2 linked regions of the Drosophila melanogaster genome follow. The gene in region 1 interacts genetically with each later gene. Each region holds a gene or a part of one and is shown on either strand. Other genes may lie near its edges.

Region 1 (15,567 bases):
TTCCGCTTGATTAGGCGCCAATTCGCACAAAAGCTTTCGAAACACAGAATGTGGGCGGGGCTGCGCCCTGCAATCATGCAATGCGTGTGTGTGTATGATTGTGTGCGTATTTAGATGTATGTGTTTGGGTAAGAGGGGTACGTCTCCTAGGGGTTGCTATTGTTCACGGCCACGGATTTAGCTTCCAGTAAATTTCACCGAATCGTTACATTTGCCTCGCGCATTAAAGTTAATGACAATACGGAGTTGATAATACTTGACAATTTTTTACCAGACCATATGTCAAGGGTTAAACGCCCCTGACAACTAGCCCATCATCATTATGAAAGGGTTACTCGCGAACTAAGCCCAAGTCTCTGTGTCCTCCTCGAGCGGTTCATTCTGGGCATTATGTTTTAAGATTGCCCCACCAGACTCTCAGATCCTTGCTATCAGCATCTGGCAAAAGGCAGTCGTCAATCAGGTTGGTTTATACGCTTTAAGTCCTGTTCTTACTCCCGCACCCAGCAAACGTCGTTGTCCTCTTATTCGGTAGTCAAGCTTACTAAGCCATCTTTTTGTAATGCTCTGATAATTAGAAAATTGATTCAGAAAGCAGGATGTTTGTAGTATTGGACATGAAGTTATACCTTTAGGTATTAGATATAAATTATCGTAAATATAAATTTGTTCGATTTTGCCCAGAAAAGTATAGGTAAAATATAAGTTTTTTTCAACTGTTTCCCCAACAAATTAGAATACGTTGCTTATAACTTCCTATTTTATGAAACTAATATTTGTAATCCTGCATAGTGCATATGCATAATTATGTGTTGGTTTCCCTATGATGTTTATTTTCATAGTGCTCCAATATCTAAATTTCAGTGAACATTTTCTTAGAAATATACATTTTAGGGTCTTCTGAGCCCATATCACCATGTTTAACTTGAGCATTGTTTTTGCTTCCGCTTTTGTTGCTACTGTGCACTTTTGTTCACCATTTTCGTCCAGTCCCCGCCCCCTCTTACGACCCCGCTTACCATACGCCCCCGACCCCCGCCCATTGCGTTCTGCTCCCCTGGCTGTTCACAGTTTTTGCTTTTCCTCTACTCTGCATAAATTTTCCCTTAAGGATTGTCGCTGCTCACGAGTACACACGGATACAAACGCACACATACCCATAGGCGGTGGCAGGCAGACACACACAGGCGAACAAAAGAGCTTCGGTGGCAGGTGCCAGCAGTAACAACAACAACAGTAGAAGGAGCAGGAGCAACAATTTACAACAACAATGGTGGCAGCAGCAACTAAAAGGGTAGCAAGTACCAGTGGGCAGGTGGACGACCAAAAGGGGTTCGAAAAAGGGGAGGAACTGGGTTTCCCCAACAAGACAAGTTGCAAGCAGCGTTTGTTGTGCTTTATCCTTTTTTTATGCCTTGCCCCCTGACAACAGAAACAGGAAAAGCGGTTGCCGCCATTTTTAATATGGCGCACAGTCAACACACACAAACAAACGCAATGCTCGCAAAATTATAGTAAAGTGGTATAGGAAAGATTGTAAGTTTGAAAAATTTGATTTATTATAAAAATATATATATAAGAAAGTCAGTCTAAGTTTTCGATATACCAGCTATAAAATTGAAAGAATAGCTTTATAGTGTCATTTATATCAATGATATGCTAACATTAACATTAAAATAATACATTTTTTTTAAATATACCACAAAAGGAGCTAAATTCTATTTTAAGTTTACATTTCCTTTCATGGGTACTTTAACTGAGCTGAAAGCCACTGTGCCAGTTCAGATGAACATATCCTTCTATGGCCGAAAGGACCTCGACTTAAAGGCAGCTAAAATATAGCCCTTCTCTTGGCCTTTTCCATTCGCCTGTGGCTGCCTTTTTACTTTTACGACTGAGCGTGTGTGCCTGTGTGTGTGTGTGTGTGTGGGTGTTTTGGTGCACGCTAACCTTCCTCCCATTGCCCCTCCCCCTTCTAGACTCATCAGCCCTTCTTCCAGCCAGCCTCCTTTTTGGATTTGCATATAAACCACTTGCAAATGTATGCGCGCGCACAAACACACCCACACTAAGCTATTTGCATTGCGGCCGCACGAGAGCGAGAGAGACGGCAATGAGGGAGAAAGAGAGGGGACTAGCGAGCTTTAGCGTCATATAAATTTTCGATTGATATGCAAACTTAAAAGGAACCGCAAAAATTATGCTCCACTGAGCAAATGCGACGCTCAAGCGGTTGGTGGACGGACATCCTGTTCCAGGACACCACCAAGGTGCGGGTGTGTGAGTGTGTGTGGGTTAGTGGGTGTGTGTGCTACTTTGGAGTAGTACATGTTCGTGGGTTGATTTTCTCACCTATAAGAAAATAAATGTTTATTTCATTATTAAATTATAGTTTTACCAAATACTTCATAGATGATAAATAGGAATTTAATAAAAAGCGTTCTTAACATCACAAATCTTGAATAAAGATGGTGAGAATGTAAGTCACCATAATTGAAAAGTATTTTATGAAGATATATATTGATAGGTCTATGGTTTTCATACATTTAAATTTGTATTTTAAAAAAGTATCGCGATCCTTGGACATTTCTAATCAAATTCTGCAGCATAAGTTCAGCTACTGCTTACCTATTTGATATCTTTAATGCCCAAGTTATGTGCAAAGCTAAGCTATTAGCCTTATAATATGTACCGTACTGTACTAAACTGCTTAAATTCCCAGATGTGTGCCGCCTGGGCGCGTAATAAAAATCAACAAGCTGCTTGGCAAGGCAACTTACTGCCATTCGATGGGCGGATTTTCTGTTTGAAGGGAGTAGGAGCAGGGAGTTGGTTGTCTAAAATTCAATGCTCGAATGCCAGGAAAATCGGGCAACCAACAAATTCGATGGCCCGAAGCCGACCGCCCAAAACTAAAGCCTCTGCTTAAACATTTAACGAACTGCAGGCCAAAAGCTCGACAGGCCGCGCTTGACTGACAGTTGACTGCGTTGTTCGATGTTGGGTTATTTTGGGTGGTTGGGTGGTTGGGTGGTTGGGTGGTTGGCCCGTTGTCTGGATGTTCCTGGTGGCCGGGCTGTGCATATTCCAGTTCTGACGCACAGAGAAAACCGAATGAAATATATTTTCCAATCAAATTGAAATGCAAACATGTGCAACGATTGTGTGGAATTTCGAAGGGAGTCGGGCGATAGATAGATAGATGGATAGATGGCTGCCTGCCGTCCGGATGCAGCCAAAAATTGGAATTGAAAAAGTCATGATAACAGAAAATTGCACGCTCTGTGACTTTGAATGACAGATGAGTTTTCCTGTGGCTGCTGCTGCTGCTGCTGCTGCAGCACGAGCAACAAAAACAATAACAACAACGGCAACAGCCGCATTGCCACTAACTAAAACAACAAAGCGTTAACAATGAAAATGTCGCGCACGCGTTGGCGAAAAAAAAAATAAAGAAAAACAAAGACCAAAATTCGGAGCGAGGAAAAACAAATGACAGCTGCAAAAATGGCAGGCGGAAAATGGCAAGAGCAACAAAACGACGCCTACAACAACACCCAATGAAATAGTGTGTGGGCCTGGAAACTTAATTCAAAATCAACAATGGGTAACGAAATATGAAAGATAAAAAGGTTGAGCGGGAAATTGGACTATTAAATACCCTTAATTTAAGTCCGATTCGGAAAGAATATAAATGGTGTTAGAATCTTGTTCAAAGGTAATTTATAATTCATTGACTTCTGCGCTTGGAAAGAAATAGCATATGCTAGGCCAGCTAGCTATGATATAATATTTTTGAAGAGTGTTCACGTTTTTTCAATTCCCTTGAAGATGGCACATTTGTTGCTTGTATGAAAGAGCAGTTGAAAATGCGGAAACGGAAGTGGACTCCGCCACAAAGACGTTGACAATAAGGGCAACGTGAGGACCCAGCGTTTCCCATACAAAACCCCAAGTAAACCGAAGCAAACTAAAGATGGTTGGACCCAAGGAACTCTCCTCCACATAGTGACGACCTTTGAGTTGCCTTTTTTTCCAACGTTGGCCTAGCTGGCTGAATGACTGAATGACTAACTGACTGAATGACTGTGGCACTGACTGACTGGCTGGCTGGCTGGCCGGGTTGGCCGCTTCCGCTTTTTACGTTCATTGCCTCTGCCACAATTTTAATTTTCCTAATGGATATCGATCCTGCAGTCGTCGTCGCAGCGGCAGCAACAGCAACGACAACAAAAACAAAACTGGCTGGCAAAAAGGATAATAGACTTCTTTATTGTGCATGCGACTCTATAAAAGTCAACTCCTGGACTTTGTTGTGCGCTCCGCACCGCTCCGCTCCCGTTCCTCACCGCTCCGGTCCCGCTCCTCACCGCTTTTCTCTTCTGTTTTCCTGTTTTCTCTCCTGTTGTGTTCTGTTGCTCATGCGAAAATCGAGGGGGCGGCGGCGAGGGAAAGTTGGGTGTTCGGCGGATACACAAACCAGGCCAGACACAAGCACCATCACACACCTGGGCACTGAAAGAAATTATACCCTCTTGTATGTTAAATATATCTGTGGGAAAGCGAAACAAGTTACGAATGTTATGTGTCCCTAATGGAAATGAATATTCAACTAATAACGAAAATATTTGAACATATTTTAAAATTTTGAAAATAATATAAAGAATCAGTATAAATACATTTATAAATGTCACATTCAGTATGATTTCTATTAAATTTAAAACATTTTCATTATTAATTATTATTGAACAATAAATTAGCAATTAATAGGCATACATTTCTCACAGTGCACTCAAGCACACAGGGCAGGCTGCATAAATACTTAAGCAACAACCTCACACAATAAATAATCTGCTACGTCATGCAAAACTGAAACTCCAGTAGAGCCCTTTGAAATTAGAAGGAATGTGGGGTTCCATGCAGTTGGCAGACATTGGAAATTAGATTTTAGCCCGGCTGAGATGCCACCCCCTATCAGCCCCCACCGCCCCCCCTCGACAACCGTGTAATCCGACCGCAACTACACATGGCAACGTTTATTCGGAATTCCATTTTACATCTGCCCCGGATCCGCCAAAAGTGCGAAAATTAAATGAGCCACAAGTCGGAGCGAAAGGACGAAGGACCTCCACACCTCTGTTTGTGTAGGTGTTTTTCCTAGTTTTCCTGCCCCTGTTTGCATAAATTTTTGCCCACTTCTTTTTGCCAAATGTTTTTCGAGGATTGAAAATTGCCTAAACCGTCGTTTGGATCGCATTTGGGCATATATTTGCATTTGCTTTGCGGTCTGGAAATAAACGAAATGGAATAAGTTGACCGGGCAGATGATGGCGAAAAATATCGGAATAAGCGAAAGTGAAACTTAAGAACGGTTTAAACTTATTTAATTAGGATCCATGAAAGGGCAAAATTCTAGGAACACAACGTAATCATTTGCATAAACGTAGAACTGCAATAAATATTATTTGCGCCCAAGGTTGCGATTTTGTATATATTTATTACAAGAATGCCACTCACCTTCATTTCAATCAATATATTTATTTTCTAGAAGATTGAAATCAATAACCATAACTCTTTGGGAAATGTACTGGAAAACCTTGAAATCTATATCTTTACTTATGTTAATTACAAATGACTATTTGAAATAAATAGTCAAGTTATACCATAAGTTCGATAATATAAATGCTTATACTATCCTACTAGAATAATTTAATATTTTGCATATAAGAGTATAATTACATATAATTACCTCCTGAAGCATTAGTGAAGCATCAAACAGAAACAACTCTATGCAATCTTCCTTATTAGCTGCCGCCAACAATTAAAGCCAAGTTAAGCTCGGTAGCTTAGCAATTAGGTCCAGGACAGTAAGTTGTCCAATGGCTAAGATCAGCCGTGGGCTTAAGCAGAAAAATGCATTAAACAATGGCTAATATAGCATGTCTGCTCAATTTCAATTAAACGAATCGAAACAAAACTATTTCAACCAACAAGTTAAACGTTGTTCCGACCATATCGATGCGCAGTGGCTTGAGTGACATGTCCTAATTCGTAAGCGTTGACTTTTACCGGCATTTCAATTAACCCAATTAATGGACGGGACCTAATTAAATTTTGAATTCATGTTGCCAGCAAACGCACACTCATCCAGCTGCCTAGTTGCCCCGCACACAGATACGCCGGCACACACACCCTCGCAGGCGAACACACAGACATCAGTCAGCTGTTTTCTGCTGGCCAGCTGTCGTTCGAGTGCGAAGGAGATGGCGCGAAAGCCTCGCAATTCGGGGGTGGTTGGGGTACTGTTGGGGGTGGCAGAGGATGGTGTTGGATGGTAGCAAGGGGGTGGCTCGCTGTAACAAGTATGTACTAATGTCGGCGTCTGGCTAACTGAGACACGGCTATGAATGAGTGCCCCAAACGGAGCAAGCGGGCCACTGAAACTGTAGCTCGATGACCTTGATTATACAACACAGCAGCAGCGCCACCACCCCCCAAACCAGCTCAAACTCTACCAGACCCACAAGCAGCCCTGTTCGCAGCAGGGCCACTCCTTCAAAATACCCTACGTCAAATAAAAATGGCAAAAAAGTAGTCAGAGGCTACAGACACTCGAAAAAATAATAAGGAAATCTAACTAAATTGTACAGTAACACAATATGTTTATGATGTTAAACTTAAAATATTATAAAACTAGATTGTATCTCTATCACATATTCTATATAATTTAGAAATGTGCACATTTAAGTAAAATAATTTACCACCACAACTCATCTTAAACTTCTTCCTGGCCTACAGATAAGCATTCTTCAAAATTGCTTAAACAAGCTTTTCTTCGAGTGCACCCCAAGAGTCGGTGATGGTAACTGGTAACTGACATTACAACAAATCATCGGCCAGCAAATGTTGGCAACTGGGTGCCAAGTCAACGAACTGCTAACCGCAACACAGACACCGACCGCCACCCACTCGAACACATATATAAATTGCCGTACGGGGGCGTCATTAAAATTGCAACAGGGCCTTGAAGGAGCAACAGAGCAACAGGGGGGGAGGGGGTGGAGATTGGAGCGCTCCCCAAAAGACCAGAAGACGAAATCAAAAGATCAATAATTATTATGATGTTGCAGCACACCCGAAACGAGACGCCTTCAGACCGCAGAGCCAAGTCAAGACGGGCAGGTGAGACAAGGGGGGCGGAAAGGGGCGAAAAGGGGAGCCCCAAAAGCGGAGGGGCTACAGCCGAAAAGTTCGACAAGCGCATTACAACAGTTCGGGGGTAGAAAGACAGACGACGGATGAAGAGTGGGGTAGGGTTGGCCAGGGGGGTGCGCTTGCTTACAAGTGCAACCATTTTGTAGTACAAACTTCGAAAACCAAAAGCGAAATTGGCAAAACAAAAGGCCAGCGAAGGGAGCGAGGATGTGGGCCCACCTCCTGACTGCCTCCATTTGTGGATTGTGGATCCCGCAGCCACAGCTGGAGTCGGTCATGCGCACTCCGTCCAACCGATTGGCCCGCTTCGCCGCCATTTAGAAAAGGCCCACCAAGTGGAAGCGAAAGAGATGGGCTTGCTGCCAGAAAAGGACGGAGCGTGAGAGCGCTGCCCGCAGAGCGAGTGCGACAAAAACACCTGTTCCTGTTTCGAACTCCCCCCCCCCTGCAGGCCGTCAGTCCATCGAGTCGGCTATCCGCTATCGGCTATCCGAGAAGTACACGCAGAACTGGCTCGGAACCGGTTGCAGCTGCACCAGTGCCACACCAGTTCCCTACCCTTGCGGAGCGACGAGCTAGTCGCACTGCTCTCGCAGGCAGAATGTATCTGCGAGATACATTTCGGGGTGAGTGGCTGGCTGGCTCGCTAGCTCGCTGGCTCCCTGGCGTGCGGATAACGTACGGCAAACGGAACGAAGCGCCGACCGGTTTAGTCGTTCAGCAGTCTCCGTGCAGTGAGCATGTTTGTGCGCCAGACATCGTCGTTGGTCGGTTGTCGTCATCGCTACTATATAGCCGTCGTATCGCGAACATCGACCGTCTTAGCTCGATAGCCGTCGGATTTGCCTTTTCGGATGCGAGAGACTCTTAAATCCCTCACCATAGATCCAAATCCCTGCGAACAAAACGCGTGTGCGCACACGGATCACACAGCCGTGATAATCCCGCTAAATTCGCCGAAAACCCAGTGCTCTGTGTCCCGGTCTCATATTGAGTAATTCAAGCAAACTTCACGGAATAAGTAAACCAGTACAAGTGCCTTACACAAATATCCCTGCTCAATGCCGGAAACTTCTTGAGTACGGCCCAAAACGAAAAGGCGCCCGCTCTCAAGATTCCCAGCCCACAAATATCTCGAGTGTGCTTCGCCGAGTGTCCTGTCAGCCAAATATATGGTAATGGCAGAGATTGGTGGCCATTTGGCTCACCAGCTACCGTTGCACAATCACAACCACAATCAAACTGGATTACAGCCATCGCTGGTGATGAACCATCACCTGGATTTGGATTGCCATGGACACGATGTGATAAGTGAGTACCGATATTCAAGGGCTGCTGGCTTTCCGATTTCGGGCTATTTGGGCTGCATCCTTGAAAAGGACGATATTTAATACTGGAGATAGCACGATCACTTACCTAGGGACAGTCTTAAAAAAAGAACAATGGAATGCCCTTCCACAGTTTGGATATGAGGCTATTGTATCTTCTAGATACATTTGTTGGTTCTAAGTACTTTCGGTCTGTTTAAGAAGGCATTACAGTTTTTTTCCTTAGTTCCCTTAGATTTAAAATTTGGATTTAAATAAATGTCCTGACAAATAACTTAGAGGCTAATAGGGGTTTAGTCTAAAAAAGCGCTTTGTTGATCCACTGTAAACCAAGATTAAATTGCATTTTAAATCAACCTATTCAGAAATTGTATACCTGCAATTGAAACATCATTACATAGATCACGCATCAGTGTCGAATCATTTGCCGCTAATAAAGCTATTTAAAGCAGTTAATGACTTATTTATGGCTATTGTCCTAGTCCCCAAACAAAAATTGGCAAATTAAATAGTCATTAAACAAGAGCCACTGATGGGTAACTTTCTCGATTCGTAAATATGGAAAATGAACGAGGAAAGCCCGCTTTGGACATTAAAAGCCAATAAAATAAGTAAAAAGCCGTGTTAACAAATGCTCGCACCCAAATCACAGTTGTAAACTTGTCTTGCTTATTTTTGAAACATTTTAATGCCCACCATTTTAAATTCCAGATATCAGAGATCAAGGCTCGGACTCAAAGGTTCCGAGCTTTAAAACCATGAACTGTTAGTCAAGTTTATTTGTAACGAAGGTCGAAGTTATTTTTATACCAAAATCATTAAAAAGTTCAGGCACGCGTTGAACTCTTTCATACCTTGAGTTTTTAATTTTGCCAATGGATGTGATGTGAGCAAGGCTGCGCTAAAGTAATTACAAACAAATTAAAGTGATACCAAGAAAATACGAATCCATAAATAATTTTTATTGTGCCATTCTTTTGTCAAATTGGAGGATCTTTTTTTTTGTATATTGAACGACTTTCTGAGGTTCTATCTTTAGGTTCGGGATTTCTTTCGGGCCACAGTCGTTAGCCGACTTGTCGCTGCAGCTTTTGTAATGGGCTTAGACCCTATCTCGACCTGTCACTTGTTGTTTCAGTACGGCAATAACTGTTAAATTATAGCCGTATTTTATTTTAAGCACACTTTACATATTATATAGAAGCCAATTAACGGTTGAATGACATTTTAATGCTGAGCAATTAAGCGCGCAAGCAAAGCGGGCAAGCAATTGCATGAAAAAAGCTGAAAAGAGCTGGAAATGTATCACAAATGTATCTCATGCGATAATGTGACAAATTTTTAACTAGCCTAAAGTTTGTTAACCAAAATGCATTTTATGAATTCATAAACCAAGAGTGTCATTAAAAAATGCCATCCGTGTGTGACAGAAAGAGGAATATATTTTATTCAAATTTTATTTCGTATGCTAAATTGTGACAAATGTTTTGGCTGACAGTTGTCTAACCAAACGAACGACCGCAGAACACAAAAAAGCCAAACAAAAATTCCGAAAAAAAAAGGAAAACATGAAAAATCATAATCATAAGCACATATACTACATACAATGGGTTCGGGGAAATTGAATTATATATGAGGCTGGAATAATGCAGCACATGCAGTTGTAGCTGCGAATCATTTAAATTGCATTGAATTTTAGTAATTGTAATTTAAATTCAAATTAGTTGTCGGCCATGGAGCGCTGGTAAATATTTAATGTCCGAACATTTTAATTTGAAAACTTTTCACAAAGTTTCCTCCCCATCGCTCTGCTTAGTTGCTCTGTGAGTTAGTTGGCGGCTGACAAAACTTTAAGTTAGAGTTTTCCAGCTTCAAGTTGATATTTGAAATGAAAACAATTTTTGTAGTTTTCGTTTCGTCCCCCCCCCCTCTAGTATCAGCCAGCTCCACTCTCTTTTGTTAGTTCGCTTGGTTCCGAGGCGAGTTTTGTTTGTTTGTTGATTTTTGAGCGCTGTAAACATTTTAATGAGTTTTCCATGTCACAGACCCAGGCCTCCAGTCAACATGTCGTTGGCAACTTCTCAAGTAGTCGTTAAATTAATTAAATATAGTAAAAACAAAAAGAAATCGCCATCTGAAGTATCTGAAGAGCCTTTGTTTACTCTCCGTGCTCTATAGAAAATTATGTAAGTCCGAGATCGCTGCATACATCAGGGCGTTGAACTAGTTTCGGTTTTTCATGTTGGCGGCTGCCATAAAATTGTACCACTTTATGTTGAAGACCATCAAAAATTGACAATTATTTGCGGCCATAAAAGCCAAGCGATTTTTATTTTTATAGTTAACCAATTAGCCAAAAATTTGAATAAAATGCGAAGCGGGGGTGGCACGGATTTTCCCCTTACTCGTCGTACACATGTTCCCTAATCTAATTCATATTAATTCCATTTAAATTTCTCGCCAGCAAATTCACCGAATGCTAATTGGCATTTTCGATGAATAAACACAAAACCTTTCGAAAGTTAATTGTGAAAAATGGATTGGGCAAATGTTTAGCCAATGCACAAAAAGTTGAAATAATTTTTCGAATAATTTGTAAAGTGTCAATCGTCGGCCATATAAGGTTAAGTCGTCTGCGAACGAAAGAGAATGGAACCGAGTTTTCAGATGAGGCTGGTTATTTAGCCATAGATCACCGATCTCAGATCTCTTGGTTATTTATAGAGCTGCTGAAACGTCAGTGAAAGGAAAAGATGTTTCGTATACGCAACGCGATTCGATTTAGAGTGCCATAAAATTAACTATATTACCATTCTAAACATGCTTCGATCGATTTCGTTTGGAGTTTTTTGTTGTTTTTGATAGTTTCGTATTGGAAGATTCACTGGGTTAAGGTTGGAAATTGATTGAATATTTGCTTGAATAGTCATAGCGCTAGGTTTGTTATTCTTTCATATCATTTTTTGGCCTAACTTTAAGTGCATAACAACACAAAAACAATACGACAGTGGTGACGTCAGGAGGGAGCCACACCCATTAGTTCGAAAAAGGCAGACAGACGTTATCTATATTTTACGAGTTCCTATCCAAATTCCTGTTGTCCCTGGCTGACATTTTTTGCTTGCCTTCCCGTTTCCGGTGTGATTTTTATTTCGGAATCCCTGCTGCTGCTGCTTGGGGTGTGATAAAGTTATTTAGGCGCAATCCATAAATTCCCGACCTGAACCCAAAGGCCCAAAAAGGCAGCGCAGACAGAAACGTAAATCCCAAAGCTTATCTGATTTTGCACTTCGGTACCCGGCACTAGATCAATATGTTATGTTGGCCGGAGTTTTGGCTTGGCCCATACCTGAGATTCGGACCCAAGACAGCAGTGCGCCTGCGCCCAGTGTCACCAGTCCAGTTCCCCCTCGCCCTCGATATTCCCTGACATCATTTGAAATCTGTGCCCGATGTGCCAAAAAAAAAATCAGGTCTAGAAGACAGTTGGCAGCCATCAAAACAACTCTCAGCCTCCTGCGTCCAGGTATTCTCTCAATTCACCTCAGAGTCTTGGCTGCTTTGCATTAATTAACAGCTCGCTGGGTCGAGAAATTAGGGAATTATGCCTGGAATTTCCGTTCGCCACATAAAAACAGTTGTCTGATTAACTGATTAGCTTAGAAAGAGGCTTAGATGATCATGAAGATGGGCAGAAATAGTGGGTGCTTGAAAATTGCATCACTGCAGGAATGGCAATTACAATTCAAAGTACACATTATATATTAAGTAAAACTGTAGAATATTACTTTACATTCAACACCATTTATTTAGTTTGCCCTCAAAAAGCAAAGCCTTAAACTTTAAGTTTTACGAGCACTTTAAGTCAAGTGGATGCTGCTAACTTTAAGTATCGATGTGATTGCACAGCCTCGACCTGATTAAAGTACTGACTCGAAAAAAGGCTAAATATTCCATATTCCATGTTATTTTCGAGCTAAAATGTTTTTAAAGCCCAGTGATTCCGTCGAAGCTCTCTAACCTAATTAATGCAATTCAAGATATTCTTAAAGCCCTCGCCTGCTGGAATTGGGCATATTAAAGCAGCCGCCTGACTATTAAAGTGCAATTAAATTTTTTTTTTAATTCTCCGTGCCTTTTTCCCTCTCGCATTTTTGAAAAGTTCATTCAAGGTGTCAGCAGCTTGTCAAGGTGAGAGGCGGCTACTGTTTGCTCGGCTGTAGAAAAATATTAAATTTCAGCTGGGGAAATCGCCGCGAGAAGCCATGAGGGAGAAACCAGAGAAGCGGAGAACTGATAAATGTGCAGGCCAGAAATTAGTCGGGAGTTAACCAGGCCACAAAATAAGGGAACAACTGACGGCCACGCCCGTTTATCGCGTGAGGACTTGGAAAACAGGAGGAGCCCCAGAGCTCCAGGGCGCGGGAAATCGAGGGAAAGGCGAAAGGGAAAATGGGGGAAACTCGTGCCTCTCTCCAGGCGCTCATTAAGAGTGGCGAGCGTTTTGCATTTCCCGCTGGGATTTTCGATGGAGCACCCGCAGCGCCATATGACACCTGGCCAAATACATACATACATACGTAATACCAGTACACATGCAAGCCCACATATATGTATGCCCCGTTCAGGTGCAACCGGGATATACCCAAGCTCCCGTGTGGCATTTTGGCGTGTTGCATGCCATGCGGTGGCCACTTTAATGGCGTCGTTTTTAAAGCTTTATTCTGGCCCATACCCACTCTAGTCGCTGGCTTTATGAGTGTCACTTTTATAACCCTTGTTTTAATGACTAATTAAGCATGAAAGACAATAAAAGAGCCTAGGTAGGACCCCTAAAAAAACAGATACAACCACGGGCTGCCTAGAAAAACAAACTTTTATGCGAGATCCATAAAGTGAGGATGAGGACTTCAAATACTTGCCGCTGGCGTCAGCTGGAATCCAAGAGGGAGAATCCAATCACACAGGCCAGACGCCACTTGAGCAGATTGCACAATCCGACCAAAAAATCGAGATCGAATTGAAGTGCAACAGTGGCCATATCCCATTACACTCAGGGGTGCACCAGATCCATCTTGTTGGCCCGCTTAGAACCACTCCACTCAATGTCAAGTGGAGTGTTCAACAGGTTGGACCGCCCGCCGAGGACCAGACTGATGAACTGAACCCAAAACCCCGGTCTCGAAAGGCGAGACCAATTTCGATTGTCGCGCCACGGGGCGACTCATTCAGCGACTCGTTCGGTTCGGTTATTATATATATATACCATATATACATATGGATATTAGGGATCGCGACTTTGGGCAGACACGTCGCCAGTCGGTAGCCGCAATTGCCGTTAGTTACCTGACAATATTTTGACGGGATAGCATATCCCGACGGATGGTAATGGTCGCAACCACTAAGCCAGCTCAAACATCTCTACCTGCAACCCGGGCTTGCGGCTCATTATGTCAAATTGAAATGTTGCCACACGGCCAGACGGAAAGAGAGGCATTCACCTGCGGGCAGAGGAGGGGATGTGGCTGGGAAACAGGCCAAACAAGTTGCTGCCTCTGGTTTATGTCCAAAACACCGTTGATTTCTCGGTCTGCCACGAATCATAGGAAGTCATAATGCTCCCCAAATTGGATCACACCAAAAGTTGTTTCGCGAGTGGGAAGCATTCTAGCTGCCTAAAACCACTAAAGTTGAATAAGATACATTTTCTTTAGACGAATTCGCTTTCCAGGGATTACTAAGATCCAATGACAGTTAAGTGATTCGTCTTCGAATCAGCATAGCTAACCTTCAAGCCATTGTACATGGACCTATGAAATTCATATCTTAATTCCTCCCACTACAAAGAGAAACAACTGGCAGCCATGCGTTTGCCGTTGTAAACAAAATGTAGCTCATTATGTCAAATTGAATTGTTGCCTACAAGGCGAGCTGAAAACCGACCAAACAAGTTGAGGAGTTTGCAGATCTTCCAGCGACTGCCCGCCTTTTTTCGAATTTGTATTTTTCTTTAATTTATGAGGAAGTTGGCGGCGAGCGTTTTGTCGCCGCCTAAAAGTGGGTAGACCACGTAATACATCTTCCCCGGCCGACCACACAGATCAGCAAGTGAATCATGCGGTTTACCCGATGGAGGTGAAGATGGAGATGGAGATCGAGATCTGAGATCCGAGAAGCGAGAATCCGAACCCGATTCGCAACTAGGCGGGATAGTCGGGGAATGTGAGAGGGAAGAGCGACGGGTTGGAGGGCCATAAAGCAGCCTACTTAAATTGCCATAAAACAGAGCAATTTATTGGAACGCAGCCAGATCGGCAGGAATCGGAATCGGATTCAGATTCACATCCAGAATCGTACTCGTATCCGAATCGGACTCGGAATCCCCCCAAGCCGCCACATCCACAGCCTGCCATCGCGTTGATTGCAGTCCGAGTTGATCGCAGAGCTCTTCGGCTCTTTGGGTCTGTCGTTCTCTGATCTGTGGTATCGAAACATGCCGCTGCGGTGCAAGGATCCTTTGAAATTCAAATTTTATGAAGCTCATTAAATATAAATTTGTCGTTCGAGACTCTCCTCCAACTGGAACACAGAGACAGAAACTGAGAAACTGTGAACTCAGTCGAGAGATGCAGGCTGTGTGTGTGTGTGTGTGTCTGCGTATACGACACCCAAATAAAATAATATAAATTAATTAACAAAACGAAGCCGAAATGAAGTTAAAAATTTGCATGAACACGGGCCCAAAGCCTTTGGCGGTCGGCGGTCTTCGATATTTACCTCTTATTTTCATCTCATTTTTTTCTTCTTATTGGTGTGGAGTTGCGTGTGCGTAATCGGCCGGGGTTTTAAATACTCTATGGCAACAGGACCCCAGCCATTTGGTGGCGATAATCAGGGAGGGGGGGGGGTGTCTTGCCGGCAACGCGTTAAATGGGCAACTCGGTCTTCGAGTGCCATAAAGCAGGCGGTGTCTTTTAATGAGGTCTTAAGTTTTTATAACGGAGTTGGAGTTGCTGCATCCACC
Region 2 (15,863 bases), about 18 Mb from region 1:
GTGAAGAACCATGGTCAGCATTTTATTTAGCTGCACTTCCGTTTCTTTTTTGCATAATTTCTTCATTTTGTTTCCCTCTGTTCGCTCACCTTTTTGTCTTGTAATTTGCACCTATTGCATGATTTTAATGGAAATTCCTCCTGCTTTGCATTGGACACTCATAGATTTTAAAAATTCGGACAGCAGCGGAAATGAAAAGCTTCCTGCGGGACAATTCCGCAGTTGAAAGGGGTGGGGGCGTTGGTCTAAGGGCAGGGCATGCAAATGGGGATGCATGGCAATAAATATCATAAACCAGTTAGCGACCCGTAATCCGCGCTAACATATGGCCGAGTCGATTAGCCACGGGAACTCCACGAGGTTTCCACCTTCCCCGCCCTCTACCTTGGGTCATTTGCGGTCTCCTTTCGCTCCGTTTCTTACCCATTTTTTCATCGCCGCCCTTCGCTAATCGCTAATGAAGTATACGCACCGTTGACCTTCGGAACGTTCATTACACTTTGTCGTTGGCTTTTTAGGCTATCCCTGATCGCTTTTGGTCTGTTCTCAATGCAATTCGGCAGTCACCCAAAAAACCTATAAATAAATGGAAGCAACAAAAGTAAGTGCAAGTATGCGTTTGCAACATCAATAATGATCGAGGTTGATAGTACTCCGTTGATATACTAAGCTCAAGGATATGACAGTGGATTCCAGAGCTCAATTTTCATATGTAAGCACATTCGAATTCTTAAAAATGTGCCAGAAATATCGAATGTGTCCGTATGCGTCTTCATACCAAATGAATATGTTGCGAAATACTTTCTAAATTCGGCGCTATTCAAAATAATAGCCTTCATTTCAATTGAAAACGAAGATCTTGTTAGAGGGGCGTCGGAAAAAATGACAAGCAACCATAACTAATATTCGGGGGAATCCCAGCAGTTTTAGCTTGAAGTCATGCCTATACTATAATGAGCGAGCTGCTTCTTTGTCCGTAACATCGATGCCAAATCAATCAGCTGCGTATATGCCCAATTTGTCGTAGTGTTTCACCGAATGTATTTCAGTGCCAGTACAAAACCCTCAAAAATACCGCTTCGTTATCCGTAACCGAGTCAGCCTTCCCTGCAATCATAGTGCAATACACTCGCCTGGAGGCCTGATGAGGATGTTCCGAGATTGGGAGCAGGGGCCTATACGAGGTAAGGTGAGCAACTTCCAGGTCAAGCAACTTCTGGCGGCAAGGCCATGCCCGTGACTAAAATGGAAATGAAAATGACAGCCGCGAAATAATAAAACAAAACAAAAAGTTAACCGAATATCTGCCGAAATTTTTGACGGGGGAGCTAATATCATTGACCCAAGGTGCAGTTACCTTGCGTGTTCACGCCGAGTGCAATGATCCGATGATTCGCCGGCATCCGATCGGAAACGACACGTTCCAACCCTGGACGAGGCGACCTTACCCTGAGCGCACTAATTTATGGACGACATGGGAAATGGGGGTCAATACACTGAGCCAGCAAATAGTGAAAAGTAAAGTTGGCGATTTAATATTTTCAAATCTTCGAAATGGTTGGACTTTGGTTCACTGAGGTTCAATCGCCAATAGAGTAACTGTTTGCAATCTAATCACTTGCTGCTGTTAAACCCATAATGGTAAATGTATTTTGAAATTATTTAAATTCTCCAAGGTCAACCGCTTTAGTTTGACTTCGTCAAGAACATTACGATGGGATAAACCTCACGTTTTGCAAATAAATTTGTTCTTAGAACTTTTTTCTTGTTATTTTAGCTTGCTTCAAAGAATGAATACTTTTTTTTCATGTGCAGGGCGTTCTCCATTAGCCTTGCTGTTCTCTTCCACTCTCTTTCGTCGATCGAATCTCTCTTTTCGGCCCACTTACTTCTCTTCTCACTTTTTCTGATGCTGATCCCATCCACTGCCAGGCCCAAGATCAGCGCTGCTGGGCTCCTTGCATAAATTAAAACAGCTGATGAAATTTGGCAAGTCCGTCGCATAAGCGAGCTAAAAAACCAAACAAAATGTTTCCCAAGCGGAGATAAAATTATTCACTTATTTTTGTTAAAAAGCTTCTTTGTTTTGGTCATTTGCCGTTATACAGACAGCCGTCGACGACGCCCACAAAATCACAAAATGCACTGCATTCGATCAAAGTCCAATGCGCTGACCCGCCCCCTTTCCTTGGATATTTGGGGGTACGATGGGTATTTATAGTAGCACCGATTGCAATAGAAATCCCACTCTCTCTCTCGCACTCTCGGTGGCTCTCCCTCCCGCCAAATAGTCGCTGCTAATTGGGGGCTGCCATTGCGGTAGGTTCGTCCCATACTGCGTATACGTAATGTCGAATATAATCCGCCATTTCAAATGACCATGGATGCGTTTAAATATAGGTGGGTATTAATAAGCACTAAACTAATCAAGTCAGGCATTATATTAATACAACAAAATGCAATAAATTAAATTGCAACAAATAATTCCCAGCAACATATGCACACGATCAGAGCACATATTGACCTCAGTATTGGGCATTCGCAAGCTTGGACCAGATGACCGTTCCACATGGACGAGTGTTTTCCCTGATCCACTTTCCCGGATGATGACTTCGTCCTCACAGGGGCGCTTATCTCAAGTCGGACACGAATTGGCCATTTCTATTTATAGCAATTCGAACCGAAGTTGCTTGACCAGACAGAGGAGGAAGATGATGAAATACATACCTATGTGTGATGTGCTCGGGCTCAAATTGCTCATGCCGCCGATTACTCTGCCGATTACAGTGGTATTTCGGTACTTCACCCACAAGTGGGACTCGTAAGTCGGATTTTGGCGAACCTTGCGCCTCCTTCACTTATTCAGGGTCACCTTTGGAGTCACCTTCACCTTCTGCACATCGATCATTCGCCTCACGCATGTACATACTTTTAGCACCGATTGACGATCGGAACTACCACTATACTATGCTAGTTGAACCATAAAGAGGGAGAGAGAGAGAGAGAGAGAGAGAGAGAGCGGGAGAGAGAGAGGGAGAGAAAACTAGTGACACGGGTAAAGTCATTCCAAAGGTCAAACCCGCCCAACCTGAGTTTAAGTAGTTGATCATCCATGATCAACTATCAGCTGAGCATCTGATTTTCAATGCCGCTCCCGCTTTATGAGGATCTCTAAAACTTATTCCCTTCAATATGACCAAATTATTAATTTGTTAACTCGATGTTGGCCTTATTGTGGCGAGGGTGACCGGCCTGCCTACTTTGCACTCCAGCACAGCTCTCATCATGAGCAATGCTCGATTTTATTTTATTTTTTCTGACTGGGCTTGGTTCAACGCATCGTGAATTTGCTCGCTGACCTTAAATGCAATTTGTAGCTGCGACTCGCTCATGTTTTGATGTTCACTTCCGTCGTTGTCCTTGCAAAGTGCAAAAGCCCCGGCAGAATATTAAAATCGAGTAATGGTACAGCGAGTGTTTCGATTTCGATGCGATCACACGATCCCTCGCAGCTTCGATTTATGGCCCCGGCCACACGATTGCTAATTTGCAAAAATATGTTAATTATTTCTTTGGTCCTCAGGTGCTGCGGTGCCACTTCTTCTTTCTCCACAGCCACAGCTTCGATTTCGAGCGCCTTGCTTTTGATTATTTGAAATGCGTCGGCTTGCTAAAAATACATGAAATGTGGGCAAGCACAGAGCAGCAACAAAATACACTTTTTGCGCTCGTGCTTCGATTAGCCAAAAAAAAAATCGAAAAAAATAACAGCAGAAGCAGGGCAGGGCAATAGAAAATGTGCTAAATACCCAAAGCGCTGTGCACGCCTCTCCTTCATGACTATTCATCGTTGGGGGGGAAAATTCTTGAGTATGGGATCAGGCAATCTGTAAATTCGGGAAAATTCCAGTTCACAACAACACAGTGGATGTATTATTTTGAGAAAAATAACTCCACGCACTAAACAACTCTTGGGGTAAACACTATAAATACCTTGTAATTTCTATGCCCAACTGATTTTCACCATTAAGCTATCATTTTGACTTCCTCTTCTCCCAGTGGAAGAGTAACATACATAAGGGCCATGCCATACAATCAATGCGTGTCTGTGTCTGTCTGCAATCGCCAGAGATAAGCGGGCAGACTGAGAAGTCGCTCCCCCTTCGCCGGCCAGCCACCATTCACAGCCACAAACGCGCCCACTTAAGCCAACAAACACAACAATGTCAATAAGGCAGCAAAATCAACAGAACCAACCAGTACACCGCAGTAATAAATTGCAGAAATGAAAGAGGAAGAAAGCTTCGACGACGAAAGAGACAGTCGCATTGAGGCACTGAGAGCACTTGGGCAATTTCCATTGTTTGTCTGCCGCGAGCAGCGAGCCTCCTTCTACAGTCATTGCGAAAGGGTTTACGGACCCGACCCGTCAAGGGCAATCCATTAATCGCGGGTTCGTCGCCTATCAACTCCCCATGCTCCTTCCCGCCCACTTTCCAGTGCGCGAAACGCAAAAGGAAAACAAGCGTGGAGCAACCAACGCCCCATAAACAAGGTCTGCTACGTCACGGCACGGGTTTAGATAAACACGCCAACCGATTCGCAACCGATTCACACTCGATCCATGCCCGATTCCGATTCCGATTTCAATGGTCACGTTGCCGACGAATGGCAAATGAGTTTGATAAACAAAATCGGAAGTGGTGTGAGATGTATACATGAAATGTAATGAGATGAACACACCTGGTTGCGTAATTCGGTGGATTTGAGATTGATTGTGCTTTTGTTTCAGCTTTTGATTCGATAACGCTGGCAGATGATGCTCTTTTTGCAACTGTACCTATGAAAAGTACAGCTACTTATCCATCGTATAATAAGTTGGCTGCATAAAATATAACACATTTTTTAATGCCAGAGAATTAGCCTTAAGCCGTCTTCCCTTTACCGGAAGTAATAATTAAGCTTAATGAAATCCCACCCAGATAACCCCAATCCAGGTCGCTAAAATTAATTTGTTTCATTCAGAAATCTAGTTCAAGATCAGCCATGCAGATGACGAACCGAATCACCTGCATTTACGATCCCCCATCGCGTTCCCATCCCCGAGAGTTCAGTCCAGCCCCTGCCATATTGATAAACCCCCATTGACGCCGCATGGGAAGCGAGTACCAACCGCTCTACTCCTCGGAAATTGATAAGAACCCCCCTGCGCTGATAAGAGACACGCCTCTTGGTCATGTTGTGACTGACTAACGGACGAGTCTAACCGACGGACAGACTAACGGACAAGTGGACGGAGGGAAATGGAGGCGGACATAAAGACTGCCCATGCGCTGGCCAGCTGGGAATCTTGCTTATCAGTCGCGCGGCCTTATCAGTTCGAACCGAGCCCGAACCCAACCTCCGATGTAGGGTTGATCCAAAAATGGACGACTGCTGTCCGGGGGAGATGTCCGCCCATTCCGTCCATTCCGGCGTTTTATGAATAACGCAATTATTATTATTCTTCGCGGGCTGTTCACGTTGACTTCACGTGGCCCCAATCAGACGCCCCAGCGACCTCGTCAACATCGGAATTGGAATTGGAATCTACGTCGGCGGCGGCATACAAAAAACGGGTCTATCAGCGGCCTCCCCGCCCGCGCCCTCAAGCGCACTTATTCTAGATTTATTTATGTTTGTGCCATATATTCATACGCGGTACTCGTGGGGAGCAAGGGGATATTGCGCTCGTACGAGTGTTTGTCGATATAGACACCTGTTTATCGTGAGTGAGATGAGATGGGTGTGAAGTGTGTCTATGAGAGGACATCTCGATCTGTATCGCTTAGAAACACAGATACTTAAAGGCAACTAGCAAAATACTTAAAAAGTAGCTACGATTACTTAGCGACAATCTTGTAAAGTTTTTTAAGGTCAAAGGTAAAGATTTGAAATATGCTAACATTTAGCGTAGCAAAACGAACGTGACGTATATATCTGCCGAATAATTGAGTAATCCTATTATCCATGTAAGGTAAAGTTGAATAAAGAATTCTTGCAACACGGAGGTTCTATAAACCGGGTATCCCTGAGTCGAAAAACGGAATACTCATACTTGCTTTTGTTTGTCCCATATACTATACTATTTTTCCTACTTATTGACGATGTTGTTTATTTCAAGCGCACGACTGACTGATGATGAGATGAGCCTCGTTGCCATTAAGGCGTTCACCTGAACCGGTTCAGGGACGTCTATATCCCTACGATGCTATGTTCTGCCATTCACATCCAATTTCGTTTTGCATTCCAGGGACAACAACTTTCAAGTTCATACAAACATTTGGCAGCTATAGGAACTGGGCCAAGGTCGATTTTTACCGGCAGCCAGAACGGGAAATCGTATGAGAATAAATGCGAGAGGTGCGAGGGAGAAAAGGGGCAGCCAGAGAAAACGCATTAAACATTGACCAGGGCGAACCTTCGCAGCATCGTAAATTTCCATTGGTAAGACCGCAATCCCGACTGAAGGTCGTCTATGCCCCTTCCCTTGCTCTCTTAGCATTGTGCTCATAGTAGACCCCACTTAGCCTTGCTCCGAAGATTCGTAGACGCCGGTTCTCCGCGTTCCGTTCCATTCTGTTCCGACTTAGCTTCCAACTTTGGAGCAACGCGTCGGTGGGCACGTAGGCAGGGAGAAAAATCGACTTAGGGAGAGCAAGTGCATCATTTTGTAGGGGGGATTAAGATTCGTGATAAGTGGGTGGCAAGGGCCGGAAGAATGGGGGCTAGTTATAGAAAATCTTCTATAAGGGCAGTTTTTATACATATATTTCAAAGTCAGACATCCTTATCACAGATTAAATTAAACCTTCAAAAACATATTGCACTTCTAATTAAATAATTTGGTTTCTTTTGCTGAGCAATAGTGGAAAAAGAGATCGGGAATCACTCATTAGATTCGAGTTAGTCATGTGAGTCTTTATAACAAAGATAAATATTTTGATATTTGGCATATGTGACCGCCATATAGACCAATAAGAAGGTTGCGCGTCATGGTGAAATATGAGATAGTTCATAAACAAATTTACAAGATACTTTCTTTAAATATTGTAGACTTGACAATTACAATACAAGGGGAAATTCCGATTCCATTGATTAGTATCTTTCCATCGAACTAGTTGCACCAATTCGAAGAACCCCCATAATCTGTTCAATTGGGGAAAATCTTCTTGTTTGTAAACATGTTTACATGCGTGCTAAATGGAAATTTCTGATTCTTTTGACTTCTGACAAAGGCTGGTAAGCAATATGAAACCAAGAAACTAACGAAGTCTGCACTTGGAGTCACGAGTTGGGCTCATGACGTCATGGAGAGTTTTGACGATCTTGGCGCTTTTTTCGGACGACGTTGTAGCGTCGTCCACGCCCGCGTGCAAGCAGAGGCCAACAAACAGAAACTGTGTGGGAAATGTTTGTGAATGGGAATCGAGGGAAACTAGGAAAATGGGCGTCGCATTTGACGCGTTTGACGTTGTTGCCGTGCCGAATTATAGACCAGTTCCTTATGACTTTTGGTCAGACTGTGTGCCACTCGTTGAGTACATGATTAAATGGATATATGAATAATATCAATAAGCAGCGTTCTTTTTCGAGGCCCTCTGACGTCAGGGTCCACCTGTGATTGACATTTCGACCAACTCCACCGACGGAAAGTTGTCTGCTTGCGCCTTAGGCTTTATTCTGCATGCGATTCCTCTCCTCGTTAATAAGAAAAAAGGAGCGTAGGAGGCCTTGAACCCGGCAGAAGCTCACGCCAACGTCACGCTTATTATGCTGTGACCTTTGACGCGCAACAGGAGCAAGGAGCCAGCGTGGGTGTGACGTCACCGAGCCAACGAGTCTGCTACGTAATGCCAGATGCCAGAAGAGAGTTACGTCAATGCGCAAACTCGCTCTGCGAAAAACGATGAGTTATATGTACATATAACATACATATACATATATATATTGTATTTCTAAGTCGGCCTTTGACACACCGAAAAAAAGGTATTTTGCTTGCTTTTGTGTTGTAGGAACAAGTTTTGAAATCTAAATCAAAGAGTTATTTTTAGTTTTCAGTATTGTTAGTGAGGAATAAGCAATGAATTAACAAACTAAAAAAATATATGTAATACAGCAATTCTATTGTGCAATTCTATAGCACTGACACTCAGTTTTTTCCAGTAGTCAGCGGCCTACGTGCGTTTCCGAAAATGTGCGTGGGCACACGTGAGTTCTGCGAGTCCAGATTTCGCCATCCCAGATTGAGTGGGTGGGCGTGGGAGCTCCGTGGGCGAATGCAAGTCAAGGGAACTGAACTTGAACCCGCCGGGGAGCCGAGATATACGTCTATTTTTAGATCTAACCTGCGGCTGCTGATTGTGTTCAGCCTCCGCAATGCACATGAATTCCCGCTTGATGGATTTGCGAGGACTGGAGGAGCTGGCCGGTGGGGAGCTTCAACTGCGCCGCAGTTTGCATTCAAAATGCGGGGGGTGGGGCGCAATGGAGAGGGGTGCGGTAACGGTATATCGGCCCATTTACACGCCCACATTCGCGAGAGAGTGGAGGCCATCGCTTCAAGTTCCGCGCAAAATTTACACACGAATTCCGATTCCAATCACAAACACGAAGCAAAGACAAAAACAAAAACGCAAGTACTGCAAACCCCCACACGCACACAAGCGCACAGATAGGCACGCCACAGACTGCTGGCATTTTCGCCTCGTCTCACTCGCACTCACTCACTCGTCCGCTCAGGCAAAGTATCAACAAATGTTCACGTGAACATCATGAGGTCAACGCGTGATACCAGACGGACCCACACAGACACTCACGCACACCATAAAACACGCAGGCGAGCTGTTCAGCCGTCAAGAAGGTTATTTTCGAGGGGTCCACTTGGGCATACCCTCTAAAAGCGGCGATAAAGCAGTAGGAGACGGATGGAATGACATTAATTTAGTAACGACAAATATAAAATTTCTTTTTAGGGAATGTGAAGAAAAATAAAACTTAAACTTTTCAGAGATCTGCATCTAATCTAGCTGCTCCCATGCTACCCCTGAATACCCTACACGGCCTGAACAGTCGCCCCACAAGTCTGGTGTGGGGTATGGCGTGCTAGTTATTCGTTGTTGTTGCGCAAGAGAGCGCCAATAACCACAGCTGTTTCTGCCGCTCGCTCTTTGGTGTGTGTGCTCTGTGTACGAGCCCCTTTTTGCTTTGAAAACTGTTACAGGCGAAACGCGAGCATTGCCAGGTAGAATTTACCCGTGTCCTAGGAGGGTTTTCAAACAAAATAAATGTAATCAATTGACGACTTAATTGAGTTACATGCATTCACTGGTGGTGAATAAGAGGATTTTGAAATGCCTGCTTTTCGTGACTCATCTTTGTTATCTCCCAGTTTCTTGGGCCTGGCAATGCTCCCCGTCAACTGTTGAGCTCCCATACTCTCCTGCTTTCGCACTATGCCTTTCGTTTATTAATGAAATCCGTGTCTGCTTAAAGTCAGACTTCCAAAGTTAATGCAAATATATGCGGCCAGGTCTTAGATTTCAGCTTGAGGGGCGTCTGCCAGGTTTCGAGCCAGTTTTAAAGTATTTTTTCAGCCGATTATTCACAGACTTCCGTGGCAACAACTACGTCAGCTACTCAGACACGGCTTTGGGGTGTGTCTGTGAGTGTGTCGGTTGGTGTGCGCTGTGCACGCGGCTGGGGCATGCACAGCCCATGAATAGACAGCCGATGGAGCCCCACACCCTCCCCAGCTCCTCCTCTACTGACCCGTTCTCTATAGCACCAAACACAAGACCCCGCAGTGAACAGCTGATGACGTCCATGCGTTGATTACGTGCTCTGCGGGCCTCTCTCCTACTGGCTGTGTGTCTGTGTCCTGCACAGAAAGAAATCGCTTCGGTGATTTTTTGGGTCTTCTCGGAAAAGATGGCAACATTTAAAATAGCCATACACTTTTAGAGAGTTTACTAAAAACGATTTGGGTTCACCTGAATCTCTTTTAACTTATTGCCAACCAACATTACAGTCTAAAATTGAGTTAACAGAGATGTCATTCTTTACGGGCTATTTTGTCCGGTGCACGTGGGTTGCTGAGAGGTGAGTGAGCAGGAGACCTGACCTTTTTCTTTTTTGCGCCCGAGAGAGAGGAGCCGAGGAGGTGCTGCCCACGTTGCTGGCTGATGTTCGTCCGGGTTACATTGCACTGGTTGCTCCACTGCCGATGACGATGGCCCGCTCACACACACTTGCCCGTTTCCAAGTGATTACGTCGTCGGCGGCTCCACTCACTCACACTTGCACAGCCTCTGCCGGCAGCGGCGTCGGCGGCGGCAGCTCTGCTGGGAGCTGAATGGCTTTGCCTTTTTCATTCGTCTCTTGAATTCCGAACGCAACGGTTCGCCTTCGCTCCAAAACGGCAAGCGGCACTTGAAAGCGCCAGTGCAAAGTTAGCTGAAGTGCAAAAATCTACACAAACTGAGATTAAACCAAGTGATTAGCCCCGGAACAAAACAAACAAACAAACACAGACTCTTCAATAAAAAAAAGAGAGTGCAACTGAAATTTGAAAGTGCAATGGACATGGATACCTTGCTACCTTCACCACCCGCAACGCCCCCACTAAGGGAAAACAAGTTGGAAATCGTAAGTGACCTACAAAGTGGATATATACAGTGTACGCTAGTGTAATTAGTGCTTATTGAGTGGGGATAGTGCATTCAAGGCAGCGGAAAATCAAACGGAATCGTACTTAGCTCGCTCTCGCTCCCACTTGCCGCGTTTCTAAAAACAAAGTGCCTCGTCCCGCTCGCACTCGCACACAGCCATGCGATCACGCAGCCAACACGCTTTCACGTGAACACCGCATGCACAGCGAGTGATGTGTGAGTGCGAGCGAGAGGCCGCAGCTGAACATTGGACTTGGCACCACTAGGAAAAAACAACAGAAAAGCAAAAGAGAGAAGGTGAGTTGCCAATTGGCAACTGTAGGCGAGCGGTGGAGTGTGAGAGGAAAGAGAGGGCCTAGCCAAAAGCTAGGCAAACAGGCCAAGCCCCAACCCATAAAACCATGTCACATTTCTGGCTCGTTTTTTATCTGGCCAAGAAAGAAACAAACAAACACTGTCGCACATTAGAGCGCAACGTGCCGAGCCCATAAAAAGATTTCGACGTCTTCGCACGAGTCATAATACACCCCTCGCATTCGCCTTCCCCATGAAATCACCCACCTGAGGCACGTCATAATAATACTGGTGGTGTGGCTGCATTTTCCTTGCATGCTTTTAGGCGCAATTTTTAAATGGTTCTAGAATATGCGCCGAAAACGCAACAGTTGCTCATGTTTTCATCCTTAAAAATTAAGTAGTGAAATTTGAAAAGTCCATATTAAGAACAGTTTTTAAAATTTTAAGACATTTTTTGTTTCTGTCAGGAGCACATCAATTTAAAGACTTTTATGTGGTCATCAATACAGTATTCACCTTTAACATTTACATACGTCTATAATTTAAAGCACAGCTGGCAGCAACAGTTAATGAGTAATATTCTGTCACCCCAAACGGCCTTTAAAAGAGTTCAAAAACCGCCAAAAACAAAGTTCCCTTGGCCTTTCGAAGGAGCATTGAACCTGGGGTTGGGCGGGGTATTGCAGGGTGTGTGAAGGTTAACGGTGAACGGCCTTGTCAGCCGCCGGCGTAATTAGCGAATTGCGAGGAAAAGTTATTGTGGGTCAATGCTGGTCAGCGAAAAGTGAATGGGACTGTGAATGTGAATGCACTCCTCAGAACATAAACTCGACAATGTTAACGAACTCTGACTAACCCTGAACTTGTTCTTTCCTTTTCCAGGTCGCCAAGGACGAACAACAGGTGAACGAGAATCTGCTAAAGGCAAAGCTCAAGCTGGTGGCCCAAAAGAGTCAGAAAAATGGAGGGATTATTACACCAAATCCATCGGACACGGAAGACGAGGCTCCCGAAATAGCGGTTCCCAACAAGAAACCCCGTTTGGAACAACCTGCTATGAGCATGACACCGCCGCCGGATCAAAAGCTGGACGATGATCAGAAAGCGGAAAGGGTTAGCGTCATCATGCGGGTCAACAGTTCTGGCGCTGTCTCTTCTAGTAGCCAAGACGAGAACTCATCTAGTTCCACCTCCTGCTGTAGTTCCTCTTCCAACACAAACACAAGTACAAGTTCAGTACCACCCACTGTGGAGGACGACTATCCAGAGGCCAATGTGTGGCGCAATCTCAAGTTCAAAATGAACAGAAAGCGTGCTGCAGAAGTGGCACTACCCCCAGTACAAACACCCGAGACACCAGTTGCGAAGCTTGTAACGCCACCTGCTCCAGCGGAATGCATCAAGGAGGAGGAAATAAAACCTATTCTGACACCGATATATGTTAGCCCAGTAGCTTCGTCTGCCAGCCAACTTATCCTGCTCAGCACAGTGGCCGCCCAACAGAGCCCCACACCCGTACCCAAAACGCCAACAATGTCCGAGGAGAAACTAACAACCAGAATTACGGCCGCCCAGGCGGCGGCCACCAGAAGTCGCATCTACGAGTGCAGTTTTCCCGATTGCGGCAAGAATTACTTCAAAAGCAGTCATCTGAAGGCCCACCAGAGGGTTCACACCGGCGAGCGACCCTTTATCTGCAAGTGGGAGAACTGTGACAAACGATTCTCCCGTTCCGATGAGTTGTCCCGACACAAACGGACCCACACCGGTGAAAAGAAATTCCAGTGCAGCGTCTGCCAGAAGAAATTCATGAGAAGCGATCACCTGTCGAAGCACGTCAAACGGCACAACAAGGACAAGGCGAACGGAGTGAATCGACATGTCTCCCTGGCCAACAACAACACATCAGCTTCGGTAGCGGCTTCCCTCTGCGATGCCTCGCTCCATTTGCGAGCGATAGCACCGGCGGGCTCCAGCGCTAGTTCCTCGCCCATCAGTTCCGCCAGCTTGCAAGTCTACAGCGCCCAAGATCTGCTGAGGCTACAGCAGCAGGCCAGCAGTTTCACCTTCGGCGGAACCCTGCTTCAAGTGCAGCGATGAGAAGAGCAATGCGAGCAGCATCAGAACCAATCTCAGCCCCACAGTATCGCCAGCTAAACAGAGATGAATTCCCACCAAATTTCAAAACAAATTAACATCTGAGTCAAATTCGAAATGCCTTCTCGCTCTCATGTAGCTGGTGTAGACTTAAGCTTAGTTAGGAGCTAGATCTTGTCACCGTTTTGTGCATATATCAACTTCAAATTCAATACGTAATACCCAAATCGGATAGATGCCACTTCTTTCCAGGAGCACACAGCACACTTCTTATCTAAGCGATCTTCTTCAGATTAATATTCTGAATATCCCTAGTGTTTGTACATACTATAAAGAGACGCATTCGGCGTCCAACATCTGTGATATTTAAGTTTTCTTAACTCTTTTCTATTGTACCATAGTTGTCAGTGTAATTCTCTTAAGCTAAAACACACACAATTGTATTTATTGCTAAATGTGAAAAAAAGAAAATGAAAACAAATAGAATAATGGATCATCGCACGATTCCAATCTCAACAAATGAAAATATACATATTTTCCAAAGAAAACTAAAGTTATTCTATGAATTGGGAGGGAAGCGTAATTGGGCAGAAGTCTATTGCGGTGACTTAATTTTTTTTTAGAATGACAAGCCCTATTCCAAATTGTTTATGCTTACCTTTTTAAAAATCTCATCCGACTGAAACAATTTGCAAAGTATGTAGCCCCATTTTGGTATTGAACTAAGTCTTGAGTGTGGAATGTTTTTTGCTTGATGAGTGGATGAGTGTGTTGTGTATATAGAAGGATGTTTCAATGCGGTGCAGCTCAATATTCTTTGAAATAATTGGTTTTATTTTATTTTAGCTATAAAAGCCATTTGTCTTATATGTTAAAATGTATTTACCCAAAACAGAGGGGCATTTTGGGAATCTAAAATGAAATTAAAATTTTCAATATCCATTGATTTAAAATTAAACAAGATATAAACTTACTAAACTTTCCACACTTTTTGCCCAGCGTAAATAGAAAAAATGTTTATAGTTGATTAGGCCGGATAGTTAGGTAAAACTTCCAACAAATATAAAAATATATCTAGAACAAAACAGAAATTAGAAAGATTTTAAAATAAATAGTAATTTTTTTGCAGCGTACGCACTTTTAGCTTAAGATTTAATGTTATAGTTGAATTTAACCAAATAGTTGGGCTAAACTCCCAGCAAAGTGGAAAGTTCACAGACTGCTCTGGGTTTCGATTGCGGGGAACACGCCTGTCGCACGGCCATCTCCCAGGTGTCCAACAAATGTGAGAGCGAGTAGTTCTTGGGCAACTTCGAGATGCGGGCAATGAGAGCTTGTTGCACCGTCTGCAGGAAGGGGGTGGCTGAATACTCCTGTTCCGCCAAGGAGCAGTCCGGAGCCTGCCACGGATATTCCTCCGGCACACTCACACTTACGGGCGGAACACTAGGCAACCTTTTGTCATCCAGGCAACAAATCAAGCGAATGGCCTTGTTGTTGATCTGTGACGTGGTGTCCAATTTCACTTTAAACTTGGTATCGAGCCTAGCAATTTCCCCTTGAAGCACATGTGGCACTTCCTGCTCAAAAGACGTGGACTTTTCTTCCACCCGAGGTCGCTTTGCGGGCACTGGAGCTGTTATATCCGTACCAAAGAGCAGCTCCAAAGTGGGTCGGAATGTGCGATACAATGTGTGATTTGCTACAGGACTTTGCAGCGTTGTATTTATAACCTCCAGCAATGGATTTGAGGATTTCTAGGTATAACGAAGAATATAATAAATTGGCCCGTTGGATGTAGATATACTTACACCAAACTGCTGGCCGGAATAGGAGATGAGATCCATCTTCTCAAGCGCTTTTTCACACTTAAGTAGAGTCTCCAGCGGCACGCGCTGTGTAGGATTGCAGAGAATCTCCAACAACTTGCTCATCTTTGTCATCTTCTCCACATCTATTAAAGAAGATATAATATTAGTTTTACGATAACATATACTTCGAGAATATAACTACTAGGAAATATATAAACCCGAGTAAGTTTGCATTAAACTTTTGTTTTTGGTTAGTTAGTCCTTGCATTTGGCCTCGCAAAAACGATTATATAATTCTTAAATTATATTATTTGACGCGGTTTATAGCATTTACAGCATTTCAGTAATCAGCAAACGATTTAAAAATGCAATAGCTGCGAAAAAAACGAAACGTGAGGGTATTATCTACTTACTGGTTCCGTCGTTACTGATCTTGGCAAGCATCCGCTTCAGTGGCTCAATGTACTTGGTCAGCTGCTTGTATTTCTCGCGGTATAATGCCTCCTCCTGGGGATTAAATGGACTGTTACCAGTAACCTGGCCAGGAGTGTTGATCGAGGCACTTGGAGACTGCTGCCGAATATTGCGCTGCGAATTCTGCATCTGCATCATCTGCGGACTGGACTGGGGAACCAGTGCCGGACTAGGAATCATATTGGGCGTGGGCATCTGCGGAGTCGGAGGTTGCTGTGTTGGCGTCTGATTGCCCACCACCAGCTGTTGCTGCTGTTGTTGCATTTGCTGAAGCTGCGCCTGTTGCTGTAATTGCTGAGCATCTGCTGGAGAGGGACTGGATCGCATGAAGGGCTGTCCCGGCTGCTGTCCACCCACTCCCACACCTCCTCGATTACCGGGAAACATCTGACCCGCCTGGCCCATGGGCATATTTGGTTTTTGCTGCAAATTCGGTGGCATGTTCACGCCCATACCGCCCATGGGGTTCATTCCT

What was found.
Region 2: of tup (region 1) and ush, changing one enhances a phenotype caused by changing the other (phenotypic enhancement), as found in Drosophila melanogaster (one study listed by BioGRID).

What each region holds. Positions count from the first base shown.
Region 1 is NT_033779.5:18,873,616-18,889,182, reverse strand, and holds the start of tup (tailup), read left to right. Parts: upstream 1-7,921; 5' UTR 7,922-8,387; coding exon 8,388-8,526; intron 8,527-15,567.
Region 2 is NT_033779.5:474,230-490,092, reverse strand, and holds the start of ush (u-shaped), read right to left. Parts: upstream 13,874-15,863; 5' UTR 13,762-13,873; intron 13,648-13,761; exon of another isoform or gene 13,107-13,647; coding exon of another isoform or gene 11,889-13,106; exon of another isoform or gene 10,687-11,888; coding exon of another isoform or gene 10,618-10,686; exon of another isoform or gene 10,405-10,617; intron 577-10,404; 5' UTR 1-576. Other genes in the region: cbt (cabut), read left to right, coding at 10,618-10,686, 11,889-13,106; MED15 (mediator complex subunit 15), read right to left, coding at 14,291-14,860, 14,915-15,057, 15,328-15,863. UniProt on the Drosophila melanogaster protein: Transcription regulator that modulates expression mediated by transcription factors of the GATA family such as pnr and srp. Represses transcription of proneural achaete-scute complex (AS-C), which is usually activated by pnr.